2 linked regions of the Drosophila melanogaster genome follow. The protein of the gene in region 2 interacts with the protein of the main gene of each other region in a pairwise test. Each region holds a gene or a part of one and is shown on either strand. Other genes may lie near its edges.

What was found. Proteins that work in one complex are often made in the same cells at the same time.
Region 1: the proteins of CG17032 (region 2) and CG3500 interact in a two-hybrid assay, tested with the Drosophila melanogaster proteins (one large-scale study listed by BioGRID).

Annotation. Positions count from the first base shown.
Region 1 is NT_033778.4:23,354,251-23,361,227, forward strand, and holds CG3500 (uncharacterized protein), read right to left. Parts: upstream 3,316-6,977; 5' UTR 3,039-3,315; coding exon 2,969-3,038; intron 2,908-2,968; coding exon 2,606-2,907; intron 2,421-2,605; coding exon 2,196-2,420; 3' UTR 2,122-2,195; downstream 1-2,121. Other genes in the region: Rpi (Ribose-5-phosphate isomerase), read left to right, coding at 1,104-1,829; CG9875 (uncharacterized protein), read left to right, coding at 3,505-3,584, 3,643-3,928, 3,990-4,097; CG34423 (uncharacterized protein), read left to right, coding at 4,468-4,517, 4,583-4,721, 4,782-4,850; Mthfs (methenyltetrahydrofolate synthetase), read left to right, coding at 5,230-5,346, 5,420-5,675, 5,740-5,972; vir (virilizer), read right to left, coding at 6,143-6,317, 6,382-6,977.
Region 2 is NT_037436.4:15,955,963-15,963,503, forward strand, and holds CG17032 (uncharacterized protein), read left to right. Parts: upstream 1-2,880; 5' UTR 2,881-3,303; coding exon 3,304-3,421; intron 3,422-3,725; coding exon 3,726-4,546; 3' UTR 4,547-4,647; downstream 4,648-7,541. Other genes in the region: GXIVsPLA2, read left to right, coding at 1-91; elgi (early girl), read left to right, coding at 788-877, 961-1,103, 1,177-1,621, 1,677-1,842, 1,905-2,008; Brr2 U5 snRNP complex subunit, read right to left, coding at 5,032-5,517, 5,576-5,858, 5,914-6,088, 6,153-7,541.

The sequences.
Region 1 (6,977 bases), on a different chromosome or scaffold from region 2:
AAAATCAATTCAAATGGCAGATAATACCAGATTTCCCAAAAGAAGCTTATTAATACTGAGTGCAGGATTTTCTGTCAGGGTTTTGCACATCAAATAACACAACTGTACATAGCTTCTATCGAACTTGTCAGGTTGAGGAATTTTTTTGATGTGACATAGGCGACAAATCCAAAGTTTATTCAAAAGGCAGTAATTATAAGCATTTGCAGCTGGCGAGGCATTTTGTCGGGTAAGGCGATCCTCCTTAAGAAGTGCTGATTCAGTCAAATCCACTATTTCAACCGACGCTGCAAACATTCTGACCATTAAGACCAGGGCGCGGGAACTTCACCGAGGAAATGCGCTTAGTACGACGCAATCCAGAAGCGCATGCAGAATGCACAGCAGGTTCTCCAGCTGGTCATCTCGGACAGCTGTACTGGCGCTGCGATCCCGCCATGAACAAGCATGTGGAGGGCCTATGACCTATGGCCATGTCGCTTGTCTGCTGCAGGTCTTTGTGGAGAACGAAATCAACCTGAGTCCCGACCAGAGCTGCATGAACTGCTGCGGAGGCTGCCATGACACCCGCTCGAGCGGTTGTTACAAGGCGGAGGAGGAGTTCTGTGGCCAGCAGGCCGCTTGCAAGGGAAGGCTCTACAAATGCAACACCATCGAGTCCGAAAGTTTATAATCTTTGTGGGGACCAAAAACAACAGCTAAGACCGCTGCTACCAAAGGTAATCCCTATATTAATATATAAACCATAACAAAATAAAATCCCTTTTATTTCCAGTGTGGATTTCGATCTAGAAACCATATGTGCTTGAGTTTAGATAACGTAAACAGAATAATTTTAACAGCTAACAGTTGGCGCGCAACTAACAGCTCTGTTAGCCCGGCCGGCGCAACAGCGAAAAATCCCTAGCGCTTCACCAAAAATCCCGCACCGGCGGCTTGATCTCTGTGACATTGAAGTTGCGATTGAAAGCAAGCCTGTTAACCACATGTTATCTGGGTTTTTGCGACGAGGCGTCCAAAGAGCACGGTTCACCTTCACCCAGCAACTCGGCGAAGATCTTTTGAGCGGCGCAGCGGCAACACTCCACACCCAGATACGCATGATGGATGACATTGCGCTGGACGCGGCCAAGAAGACGGCGGCCCGCACGGCGGTGGACCAGTGGGTGACTGAGGATACGAAGATTCTGGGGATTGGCAGCGGATCGACGGTGGTGTACGCCGTGCAGCGGATCGCGGAGCGCGTGTGGAAGGAGGGCGAGCTGACGGACCTCATCTGCGTGCCCTCGTCCTACCAGGCGCGCCATCTGATACTCGACTACAACCTTAACCTGGGCGATCTGGACAGGAATCCCAACATAGACGTGGCCATCGACGGGGCCGACGAGGTCGATCGCCATATGGTGCTGATCAAGGGCGGCGGCGGCTGCTTGCTGCAGGAGAAGGTGGTGGCCTCCTGCGCCAAGCACTTCATCGTGGTGGCCGACTACACAAAGAACTCCATCCGCCTGGGCGAGCAGTGGTGCCGCGGCGTGCCCATCGAGGTGGCGCCCATGGCGTACGTGCCCATCAAGCTGCACATCGAGGCGCTTTTCGGCGGCGAGGCCTCGTTGCGTATGGCCAAGGTGAAGGCGGGACCCATTGTCACGGACAATGGCAACTTCCTCCTGGACTGGAAGTTCATCGCCAACAGGGAGTACGACTGGGACGAGGTCAACCGCGCCATCACCCTCATCCCGGGCGTCCTGGAGACGGGCCTGTTCGTGAACATGGCCCACAAATGCTACTACGGCATGGCCAATGGCTCGGTCAAGGTCCAGAACAAGTAGTTCTTGGGCGGAGTTGGGGGAGCGCTTTTTGCATTTATGTTTCACCAAGTTGTTCCTTAAATTTTAGGTTTGCCATTTGTAATGGATTTAAATACATATTGAGTTCTTAGCCGAGAAAACGATGTGTCCTAACTTGAAAGTTTCAGCAAACGAATCTTATTCAGCTTCTTCATTCAAGTATAACATCGAAATACGTCCAAATCACCACAAAAGGGTATCCATTACACTGAAATCAGACCCACTAAATCTCAATTGGTTACAGTTCCACTACAATAAAGTGGATGTCGAATGTCAGTTCACATGCGCTTTGTATACTTTTGTCTCGATTGCGGCTACAAAAATAAATAAACATTAAACAAGCTAGATCTAGAAGGCCTTCTTGGTCCGCCCAGGGAGCAGGGCCTCTTTCAGATACTGGAACAGCGACAGCAGGCCCTGCTTCTTGTTACGCGAGAAGTAGTTGCTGACCACGTCCGGACTGCGCCGGCTCTGGTCGCTGACGGTGGTGGGCAGGACACTGTCATTCGCACTCAGCGAGACGAACAGGGCGAAGGGCACGATCCACATGCAGATGGTAAAGTAAGCCAGCACCTGAAAGTGTAAATTTCCTTTAGGCGTTTGCTGCGGCCTAATTCAAGTTGTATGTAAACAAACTGATGATGTGGATACACAATGCAATGCATATTGCATATAATGGCTGTATAAAAACGTACATACGTTTGTACGTAGCGAATGCGCTTTCCATGACTAATGATTTATGCAATACATATGCTCACCTGCGTGAAAGGCACATAGACAGTGACGAAATGCTGGAAGGCCAGGAAGTGATTGACCACCAGCATGGCCAGGGAGCCCAGCAGCGGCAGCGAGAGCAGGCGCACGAAGGGGAATCCACTCATGATGCCCAGGTGGAAGCCCTGCGCCACCAGTCCGCAGATGATAAGGCTCCACGGCAGGTCCTCGAACAGCAGCAGCAGGATGTAGACGAAGATCGTGAAGCTGATCAGAAATAGGATGCACTTCCTAGCCGCCGTCGTGTACTCCTCGGCCAGCTCCGCCAGATAATAGAGACCAGCCACTGGAAATACAAATTGCAGACGTTGCAATTGGACAAGTGCGGCTGCACGGCGACAGCTCACCAATCGACAGGGTGAGGAACACGATCTGTATGGCCAGCGAAACCCATCCCAGCAGGTACAGGACGGCCATCTTGCGTACTTCAGGCGGAATCGAAGGATATATACGGCTCAAATCGGCCGACAAAACAAAACAATCCGATTAGAGTGGCGTGTGGTGTGTGGCTCGAAATACCAAACATTTAATCAGCTTGTATAGAAACGGGCACACTAATGCGCAGAGCTGCCAGATATTCTCGTTCCAACGCTTTTTCAAATATTTTTTGTGGGAAACATGAGGAATTTAGGATTGAAATCCATATGCAAACTAACTAATGTGAGCAGCAGCATCCATGGACCATGACTTAAAAATATCTGCAAATGAAGTAAAAATACATTCATAAGTAAAACGAGTTCAATTCTTTATAAAATGTCGGATATCAAAACCGAATATCTTAGAAAGCAACCGTTTCAAATTTCATCTGAAGCAAACAGTCTAGATTCTGCTTTTGATATCCTGCAAATTGTCCAGCCTTTTCGAAAAATCCGTAACTTTTCGTATGTGTTCCATACTCGCACGTGCAAGGATGTTTTGTGCAGGAATAGTGCAGCGTAGACTGAGCATGGGTCTCAATCCAAAGTGAGTAGCGCTTGCACATAACTCCTTCCCTTAAACACCCCATCCGAAATCCCTGAAGACTCGGCCTGGCGCCCAGGAAGCTCTACTCCGAGGAGAAGAAGCCCCCGGGTGTTTTCCTTTGGGGCGGCGGACTTGGCAAGCTGCAGGGCGGTCTCAAGGAGGAGGAGTACTTCATTTCGTTGACCCAAACCCTCGTGGGCAAGATGCGGGACAAGAAGGAGCCCGGCGACTACCTGCCCAACTGGGACGAGTTCCAGAAGACTCTGGACCACGCCTCGCTGGGCAGCACCTCTTCCATGAACAAGCACAAGAACGTACTCGAGGAGGCCTTTTTCCTGAACAAGGTTGCTATAAGTCTCCAGCTCATTTTTCTTCTAATTTCCATTGCAATATCTTTGCTTTCAGACTGCAGACGACATCAAATTATTGCACGATCGTGCCCAAGAAGAGCTCAAATCTCGCCATACTGCCACAGAACTGGAACTCGAATCAGATCCCCAGAACACCAAATAGTTAGTTGTTTATGTTTAAATGCCATACACCGATTTCTTCAGGCGCATCATCATCATAATCACCCAACTTATCCACATGACACGGCTCAATAAAATTGTTAGTTGCAATCTTTGTAGAAAGTTTTTATGGAATTAAGGAAGTAATTAAAAATCCATTGGGTCATCCCAGTTGATTAAAACTAAAGTTCTTTAGCCCCTATTTAGTGAATGTGTTTCTATTTCCGTGCCCACTCAGTATTTTTAGCAGCGCTATTGTCCAATGTTCACCAGTTTGTTTTCGCAAGTCGTCGAAATCGAAATTTCAGCGGCTACTCATCCCTTATATATAGCTTAACTATACTATATAAACCGATAAACCGATAGAGGCAAACATGTTTACACTGCGACGATTCAGTCAGCGCTGGTATCCCAAGCAGATTCAGTAGGTTTCGCGATTTGGAGAGCAGTTGCGTAAGATTCTAGAACCGTTTTCGAATCGCTTTGCAGGCACTTGAAGATGTCGCAGATCGGAGAACTGGGCAGTGGAGCCGGCAACGGCGGCGGCGGCGGCGGATCCATCCGGGAGGCGGGCGGTTCATTTGGCAAAATGGAGGCTGCTCGCGAGGAGGAGTTCTTCTACAAGCAGGTGAGCTCTTTCTACTACACCAGACTGTACACGAGGTAAAGATTCCATGTTTCCCTGCAGCAAAAGGAGCAACTGAAGAACCTGAAGACCAAGACGGAGCCTAAGGCACCAGAGGCTCCCAAGAAGTGAGCCCAACCAGGAGCTTTGAACTCCACTAGCTTAACTATGGTTAGGCTGGATTGTCTGAATTGTATTTAATGGGAATGGTACTCCAAATATATTTTGTTTAATTTACAACTGGTTGTGTATTGGATAACTCCCATCCCTGATCAGCTGATCGCCCCGCGGCTCACCCAAACTGCAAGCCTAAACTTTCCCCAGACCGCTCCACTTCCATTTGTTTACGAACAGCGCTGCAAAGCGGAACAGCCGACAGATAAGCGTCAGTGTAAGCGCAGCTGATAACGGGCGGCGGAGTGGCGACCTAAAGACGCATGGACCGCGCAGGCAGATGGAAACAGTTCGCACCGGTTCGCTCGAGTGTGCAGTAGATGATCCAGCGGCAGGAATGGCGGCCACGATCCAGAACACCCTGAAGGTGGCGCTGCGAAAGCGCATGAAGGATGCACTGAAGGGCATCGACGCGGAGGCCATCGCCCGGCAGTCGCAGGCCGTCACGGCTAAGGTAACATTGGTTTGGCTGGGCCCCAAGGTTATCAAGTTAATTCCCAATCCCCCTAATCGGCTCGATCGCACAGGTGCTGCAAAGCGAGATCTTCCGGCAGGCGCAGCGGGTGAGCATTTACCTGAGCACAGCCTCGGAGCTGGACACCACGGCGCTGCTGTCGGAGATGTTCCGCCTGGAGAAGATGGTCTTTGTGCCCACCTACGAGGGCAGCAGGATGAAGATGGTGCGGCTGCGCGGCATGGAGGAGTACGAGAGCCTGCCTCTGACCAAGTGGAACATAAAGCAGCCGGACTTCAAGGAGGCACGCGAGGATGCCATGACCAACGGTGAGTGGCTAGGCATACATCAGAGCTCCTTCTAAACCCACACACACACACTCGATCACCACAGGGCACGGCATCGATCTCTTCATTGTGCCCGGTGTGGCCTTCACCCGCTGCGGAGCTCGGATGGGCCATGGCATGGGCTACTACGACAAGTTCCTCAAGCAGCACGCGGAGAAGTATCCGCACAAGAAGATCTCGCTGATGGCACTGTCGCTCAACGAGCAGATAGTCAGCAACGAGGAGTTGCCCATGGAGTCGCACGACGTCCGTTTGCACAGTGTAATTACGGAAAACTAACTTTTGGCTTACATACAAAGTGGGAAGTAAAGCGAACTAATACGAAAGCAACACACACTATTAAGTATTGGAATTCAGCTGCCCAGCGGGCATCTTAGGATCTAGTTCTGGTTCGTTTGCCGAGTTTACGGGAAGTGTCAGTGAGAAGCGGGTTGGGCTGCAATGTCCTCCTATCTCAGGTAGGATGGCCTGGAACGCAGGCCTCGTCCACGCGGCCGTCCACTGTAGTGGGGCGACGAATAGTGCGAGTCGCTGCTACTGAAGTGGGAGTCCGAGGCAGACCGATACGATCCGGGGGACTCTGCCCAGCTGGAGGGCGAACCAATGCGCATCATCTTCTTTTGCCTGTTAAAAGAGTAAAAAGAGCCCATTAGCGTTATCCTGCTAAGTGGTAATCGTGACACTTTACCTAAAGGCAGCTGCTGCCGAGATTCGAGATCCTCGGTTGCGACCCACCCGGGAGCCTCTCAGCATTGAGGGTATCTTGTTGTAGCCGGTGGGTCCTGTGGGCTGGGCGCCACAAGTTTCCAAGGCCAGGAAGTCGTCCACGTGCAGCGATGGCGGTCGCGAGGTGTTGGGCGGCCGGGAGCGGAACAAATCGCCCCTGGAAGGTGGTGGCCGAGCAAAACCACGACCCCTTACCGACGACACAAACATCTTCTTTTCGGGTCGACCAGTCGCGGGCTCAACTTCCACACGGCGCGTGCGGAAACAAGGCGCCGTGGGCGTCATCTCCCGATTGGATTGGGGCGAGCCGGATAAGTTCATGACCCGCTTGCTATCGCCAGCCACATTCAAGTCCGGATTGAGGCACACGTTGGCCAAATCCGTGAGATCGCAGGCAATGCGCTCGTAGATCGGCTCGTTCATGTCCTCGATCAGTTCGATGGGCAGCGGGTCCAGCCAGTAGCGCGCCGTTAGTTGGGCATTCTCGGCGGTGGCGCAGAATCGCGTGAAGATCGGACGCGCCTCGTACTGTGTGACAATGCCCTCGGCCTGTGGCAG
Region 2 (7,541 bases):
CTCCTACAATGGCAATAGGCAGGGTAATAGCAATAGTAGGGAGAAGCAGCAGCGCCAGAAATATGGCTGGAAGGATCGCAACGAGATATAGTACAGGATCACTGGCTACGAGGGTGCGGGGACCTGGGGGTATCGGATTAAGCGTTAAATGTTTTATGTGTTGTGTTAGTCTATGAATTGGGTAGCCATGTCCATTGGACTCCCTTTTTGACGAATTTCATTATTGTATACCAAATAGTGGCATGCCAACGGTCCAGACTGTTAAATACATTGATATTTTTACCTATTATAAAGATGCTATATTTTTAAATCAACTGTGCGCTGATTAATCACCGGTGGCTTATGCTGACGTGGTCCTTTGGGCAGGATATGTATATTATTTATTAATCATATGATCGACAAGTGTGTAAACATATTTTAACCAGGACGATGACGTATTTAATTTGTTAAGCTGCCTGGCCAAAGCTAATTTAATAGTACAAATAAATGAATGGAGATCAAACAAGAATTCTATTATATCAAAAATTTTGACTTTAAGTCAAACTTAAGTTTAAAACTAAGGTGGAACAGAAAATATCTCAATATTTTCAAGCTAAACAGTTATTTTAAGAAGCCATTTCTCGCGGATTACAGCTGAAGTGCCATCCTAGCTTTCCAACACTACTCAGTCACACTACACAACACTGCACTGACTGAACCGAAAAAAAAACACACAGATTTTGCAATCCGCAGAAAAGAATTATTAATAGTATTTTTATGCGGATGGCCAGCGTGCTGAGGACCTAAGATGGGCTACGATGTGAATCGCTTTCAGGGGGAGGTGGACGAGGAGCTCACCTGTCCCATCTGCTCCGGAGTGCTTGAGGATCCGCTGCAGGTTTGTTTTGTTTGCAAAGAACGCACACCGCGAATCATACATATGCTTTAAATACAAACAATCATACATATCTACCGATTCAGGCCGTGATGTGCGAGCACGCCTTCTGCCGCGGATGCATTAACGAGTGGCTAACCCGCCAGCCCACTTGTCCGGTGGATCGAAATTCCCTGACTACTGCCAACTTGCGGGCAGTGCCTCGCATATTGCGCAACCTACTGTCCAGGTGAGAAAAACCCAACGCCTTCTACTCTGTGAACCTTGTGGACTCTAACTAATCTTTGACCCTTGCCAACCAGACTGTCAATCACCTGTGACAATGCGCCTTATGGCTGCACGGCTGTTCTCAAGCTAGACGCCTACAATTCCCATTTGGACGAATGCATTCACAATCCGAAGCGACCATTTCCCTGCGAGAAGGGATGCGGCTTTGACATACCCAAGGATGAGCTAAAGGACCACAACTGCGTGCGGGAGCTGCGCACTTTAATTGTCAAGCAGACGGAAAAAATGGGTGAGCTCAAATCGGAGCTCACCGACCAGCAGCTGACTATCAACGAACTGAAGCGCGAGCTGCAGCTATTCAAGGACTTTATGCGTGCCATGCGCGTCTCCAATCCTGCGATGCGGGCCATAGCCGACCAGATGGAGCGCGACGAGGTGATCCGCTGGAGCAGCACACTGCCCCGGGCCAGGGTTACGCGCTGGGGGGGAATGATCTCTACGCCCGACGATGCACTGCAGGTGAAGCCCAAATTCTAAATTTTTTTAAAACGTTAACTCACTTTTCATTTGATAGCTCATGATCAAGCGCGCTTTGTCCGAGTCGGGCTGTCCGCCACACATCCTGGATAGTCTTATGGAGTTCTGCCACGAGCGACGTTGGCCCCGTGGGCTCAGTTCGCTAGAGACACGTCAAACCAATCGTAGGATCTACGACAACTATGTGTGTCGACGCATTCCAGGTAACAATTTTAAACATAAATATTAACAACAAGGCTTTATCTTTAAACTTACTCTTCCGCAGGCAAGCAAGCTGTGCTCGTTTTGAGCTGCGACAACCTCCACATGACTGAGGACGTCATGATCGATCCAGGTTTGGTCATGATCTTCGCCCATGGCATCGAGTAGGCCCTCAGCCGCTGATTAACCACTTATCCTAGGTTAAATGCTAACTATATCGAACAGTGCTCAGTTTTGTTGATTCCTTAACGTAAGAGTAAGCATTAAAAACAATATTGTAAGGAAAAACTCGCAAAACAAACCATTCAAGCGCCTCATGACGACTTTCAAGTTGTACAAAAAATATATATTACTTTCGGTTCATTGTGTTTTATCCATTTAGTTAGTACGCAAATTCGTATACATCATCAAGTCGTTCGCATATACCCAATATTACATGTTTGATTAAGCGATCTCAACAAATGTCCCTTTGTTATCGTTCACTTCATTCTCATTTTGATGGAAGGAAGCTGTGAATGTCCTAATTCGCGTTTAAATTCGTATTGCACAACTTACTTAAATTTCTGAAATATTTGTCAATACTTTTAGATTAAATGTGGAAAGAGTAATAAACAGTTTATTTAACTAATGTATTCATGGAAGAATTTATTACTATAATAAACCATTTGCTTTTATAATTGATTTCTTTCAATTACGAATTTAAATTGTAATAGTATGTTACAACAAAATTCCATTTATTCATTTATTTAAGCACTCCCATGAATTATTTTTCTGAAAGATTGTCTAGCCTTTTAGATTAGAAATAGAAATAAAAGTGATTATTCCAACTAAACCGATAATTCTAGCCTCTTATCAGCTGAAAGGGCAGACAAGCGTCTGCCTTTGGAAATCCTACACAAATGTTCACTGGGATGCCCCCCACTTGCAAGCACCAACTCATTCGGGGAGATCTGTCCGCCTCCACTCTGTGGACCCGTAAAAGTTCTGGACAACATCTGTTTCCCGAAATGGAAATCGAAAAGCAACAAAAACCAAGCAGCAAGCAACCAAGCAACAAAATAAACAAAAGAAAACCAAACTAGTTCCTCCACGAGCTTTGGCCGCCAACCGGTTTCGGCTTTTGTACACCCGTTTTGTTTTTTTCCTACATAATACAACATTATACAAAGTTTGCATCGGTTACATGTGCCAAAAATCGTTGGATTATACAAGCCAGTTTTGGTTTTCAATTTTTTTCTTCGTATTTGCCGAACATCTTGAATATTGATAGAAGCAATTAGCGCCATCCAGACCAAAGGGGCAGCCCCCTACGGCGATTGAAAGTGAGAGTTGATCGGCCGATTGGCGGCGGAGCGGACAGGCTGAAATATATACATCCAACAGTTGATCGCGAAGCGGCGCAGCCAACGGACGTGTCCAGCTGCGATCTCCAGAAGGCAACCAATCTAATCGAAGAACACGAAATGAATGTATCAATTCCGGTGCTATTTGTGGCCCTCATCTGTCTGGCAGCTGCGTCGGCGTTTCCTCAACTGAGGCAGCGCAACGAGAAGCAGGTTCAAACCGGCGATGATGATTTGCGTAAGTAAAATTCTTAACGCTCGAAAATCTTACAATTCTTAGATTGTAAAACTTCCTAAATACATTTGGAAAATACTTTTCAAATCTGAAATTCTGTAAATATATATAAATACATATCTATCTATAAATTTTTGTGTATACATATGTACACATTCTGTAGTGCGAACAAAGCGTAAAATATTTAGTAAAATAATAGATTGCTCCGAATTTTTTAATAATAAGCTTGCCGATTATTCAGCTTCTATTAATTAAATTAAAATAAATATAAAATATTTTATAAAGTATATACCATTGCATTTTACAGCTTCCAAGGGCGCCACTATCGAGGAAGTAGTGGTGGAATCAGCCTTGTACATCAAACCGAAGTCTAATCCGCAGGTGCGTCGCGTCCGTTCGGTCCTGGATCAAATATCCGGAATCCAGGCCGCTCACAAGAGGGTGAAGCGTCAGTTTGGGCGACAATTTGGTGGTCAGTATGCTGGAAATCCCGGCTTCGGTGGCGGATTCGGTGGAGAGCCTGGTTTTGGAGGTGGATTCGGCGGTAATCAAGGATTTGGAGGCAACCAGGGATTCGGAGGTAATCAGGGTTTCGGCGGTAATCAGGAATTCGGCGGTAACCCAGGATTCGGAGGAAATCCCGGATTCGGCGGTAATCAAGGTGGAAAAGTTCAGGCAGGTACATCGGCCGGCGCTGGGGGAACCAAAGCGGGTGTTGATGTTGGTGCCGGACCAGATGGCGGCAATGCCAATGCCAACGTCGAGTTAAATCCGCTGGGACCACTCGGACCCAGTGGTTACAACCAGGAGCAGGCCGCATCCAACGGAGCTGCCCACAGCAACTACAACAATGGACTCAACTCAGGATCCTCGGCCGCCAGTGGGCAGGCTCAGGGCTTCCAGTCGCAGAGTGCCAATGGATCATTCGGTGCCTCCTCCGCAAGCACGGCCACTCAGTCCCAGAACACCAGCCCCTTTGGATCCAATAATGCGGCAGGTGCTTCGCTGAGTCAGGTTTACCATCTTCCCAATGGACAGACAATAAACTTTAGCTCCACGAACAGCTTCGCTAATGGAGGAGCCAATCGTGGCAGTAGCCATGGATCGGCAGTTTCTGTCAGCCGCTAAAAGCCAAGTTCACCATACAGGGAAAATACCTCCAAGTTAATCTATTTGTCAGCAATCCTATGTGCAAATATCTAAAAAATCCAAATAAATATTTATGATTGAATTGAATTTGAATGAATAATTTGAATGATTTTTTTAAAATCTAAACGGTTGCATTTTGATGATCCAGATTACAAATTACAACAAACTTGAATTGTTCCATACGAAATTTAAAAGCTTAAGACAATATAAGAATTGGCACTGTTGACTACAAAATATTTAGATTCTTGGTATCAACCAGCGAAAGAAAGTTGAAAGGTTTTTTTTATTTTGTTTTTTTTTTTTTTTGTACTACTTTATATAATTATCCTCAGTGTATCCTTGTACAATTTGGTTTCTACTAAAGTAGTACACGAATTTATTATTGCTACAATTAATGCGCGTAAATTGTAAAATGATTGATTTTCATTTGTGCAAACATGCCCAACTGATGATCCTAAAGAAAACTAATCTGACTCGCTTTCGCTTTCCGACTGGAAGTCACCCACTTCGATGGAAAACTTGTACTCCTGATCACAACCCAAATAGGAATCGCTCATGTAGTACAGAGTGTAGTCGTGTTTGCCCGGACTAGGTGCCACAAAGTCCAGCTTGACCTTTGCCTTTTGCTGCAGCGTGAGCCGTTTGATGGAGAGCAGGGAGTTGGTCTTGGGATCACCTATGACGACCCACCATCCTTCTTCGCGCTTCTGCGGGAAGAATGGAGCAATGACTGGGCCAGTGACCTCATCCTCACGTTCCAGTTGAACCACTACATTAACGGTTGATCCTGAGTTGATGCGATCCTTGTCCACCACCTCATAGTTCAGCTCAATGTTGGGGTAACGGTTGCAGAATCGAGCAACATCGGCCATTTGTAAATCGGAGAGCTGCAGCAGGCGAGTGCGATCCTCGTCCTCCAATTCCATGATATCGAAAACGGTTTCGATTTTCTGAAATATACGACGAAACATGAGATAATCCTAGAGATTCACTTGTTGTTACTCTCACCTTCTCTGTGCACCGCTTGACAATCTCGGGACTAAAGTGCGGCAACTGTTTCAAGTACGAGTCCTTGCTCCACATGGCCTGCGTGACCATCTGAGCCAGCTCCATGGCAGCCACAGCCGGCGACAGCCAGCCATTTGAACTCAGCACATCTACGCAGGCCTGAATGAGGCGGATGGCCTTGCTCAGTATCTGCTCCGTATCGCCTTGCAGTTCAGGTCCCAGTTGCAATCGCGAAAGATGAGCCTGAAGCAGCAAATTGGTCTTGATGTGCGGATCATTGAATCTAAAAATAACATTGGTAAAATTCTTTTTAAGATCTAAATGTATGGGTTGCTTACTTTGGAGCCGTTTCATTGGGTCCTGTGAGTTTGTTGGGCAGTCGCTGAGACAGCGTGCGCAGAACCTGCTCCTCATGATGCCTGACCACAACATCCTCGTACTCAGCTGCCGATGAAATAATTTCCAGCAGGCCCCGCACTTTTGTTTTGCTGTTGAGGGACAAACTGAAGAGCTCTGGGAAAAAATGATAGGAAAATGAAGATGACAATTGCCTAAACTTAAATCTAATGCTTCATACCGATAGTTGTGTAGTTGATGTAATAGTAGGCAGCAATCATGCCCAGATTGAGTGGCAGCGTGTCCATATCATCCTCCACGCTAATACACTTGGACTGTTCTAGATCGCTCAGCGTATTCTCCACCAACTCCGAAAGATGGTCGGAGAGATGGCGATGCGTGACACCCTGCAGATTGTAGTAGTTGGGATTTTGGGTCAATCGTCTGTAGAGGAACGTCCAGGTGAGATAATCAACGGCATCCTGTTTGTTCTCAATTGTCTTGGTGACCACCTCGGCGTTAAAGTGATCATGCATTCTATGATCCAAATGACTTTCGATGGGCAGCGGCTCGTTGATGAATTTCTTAAAGAAGTCCTTCTTGCTGCTCTGGCACATCAGCACGCATTTGGCATCCGCATCCTCGTTCGGCCGATTGGCTCGACCAATCATTTGCAGCACGTCTGTAATGGGATAGTCCTCATACGAATGATTCTTGCCATTGTAAAATTGTGTGTCCATGATGATCACCAAGTGAGCGGAGATGCTCATGCCCCAGCAAAGGTCTCTGGAGATAACAGCTACTTGCACGGCGCCAGAGTCAAACAGCTGCTCCACCAGGCGATGATCTGAGGCGGATAGGCCCTCATGGAGATAGGCCACTCCTTGCGCTAGGGTCTCCTTCAAAGTTTTATCCGTCATTCGTTCGAGGAACGGCTTGATGTCCTCCTCCTCAGCATGGAAAAAACGGTTGGGTTGCAAATCCGATGCTGCGTAGGTCAAAACATCAATTGCAGTGAGCCTGGCCTGCTTTCTGGACGAGACAAACACAATCACCGGCTTGTGGGCGCTGTACTTGAGGATGGCATTGTAAACAGGCTTGGACATCGTAGCAATTCTGGTGGCGTTGTGAGTGACATTATAGCCCTGGATGTGCAGCTCCAACGGAATGGGACGCACGCTGGGGTGGAAATTGAAAGTGGCATTGGGATTACAGCCCAGCCACTGGGCGACATCCCTGGCATCCGTTAGCGATGCAGACAACGCCACTATTCTGATCTGTTTCTCAATCTGCGAGCTAATGTATCGCATCCTGGAGCATACAATTTCCAAAACGGGACCTTCTTCGCCACCAACCAACTGCAGTTCGTCCACAATGAACAGGTTCACCAATTGTACGTTCTTCCTCTGTTTCCATCTGCGAGACAACACATCCCACTTATCCGCAGTAGTGATCACCAGCTGTCCCTTGGCTATGAGCTTAAGATCGGTTCCAGTTTCGCCGGTCAATTTAACCACTTTTATGTCCAGGGATCCAAATTTGCTATGCCAATCCGCAAAAACTAAGTCCGCCAATGCCTCCTCCGAGACCAAATATACACATCGGGCATCGGATTGGGTAGTGAACAAGC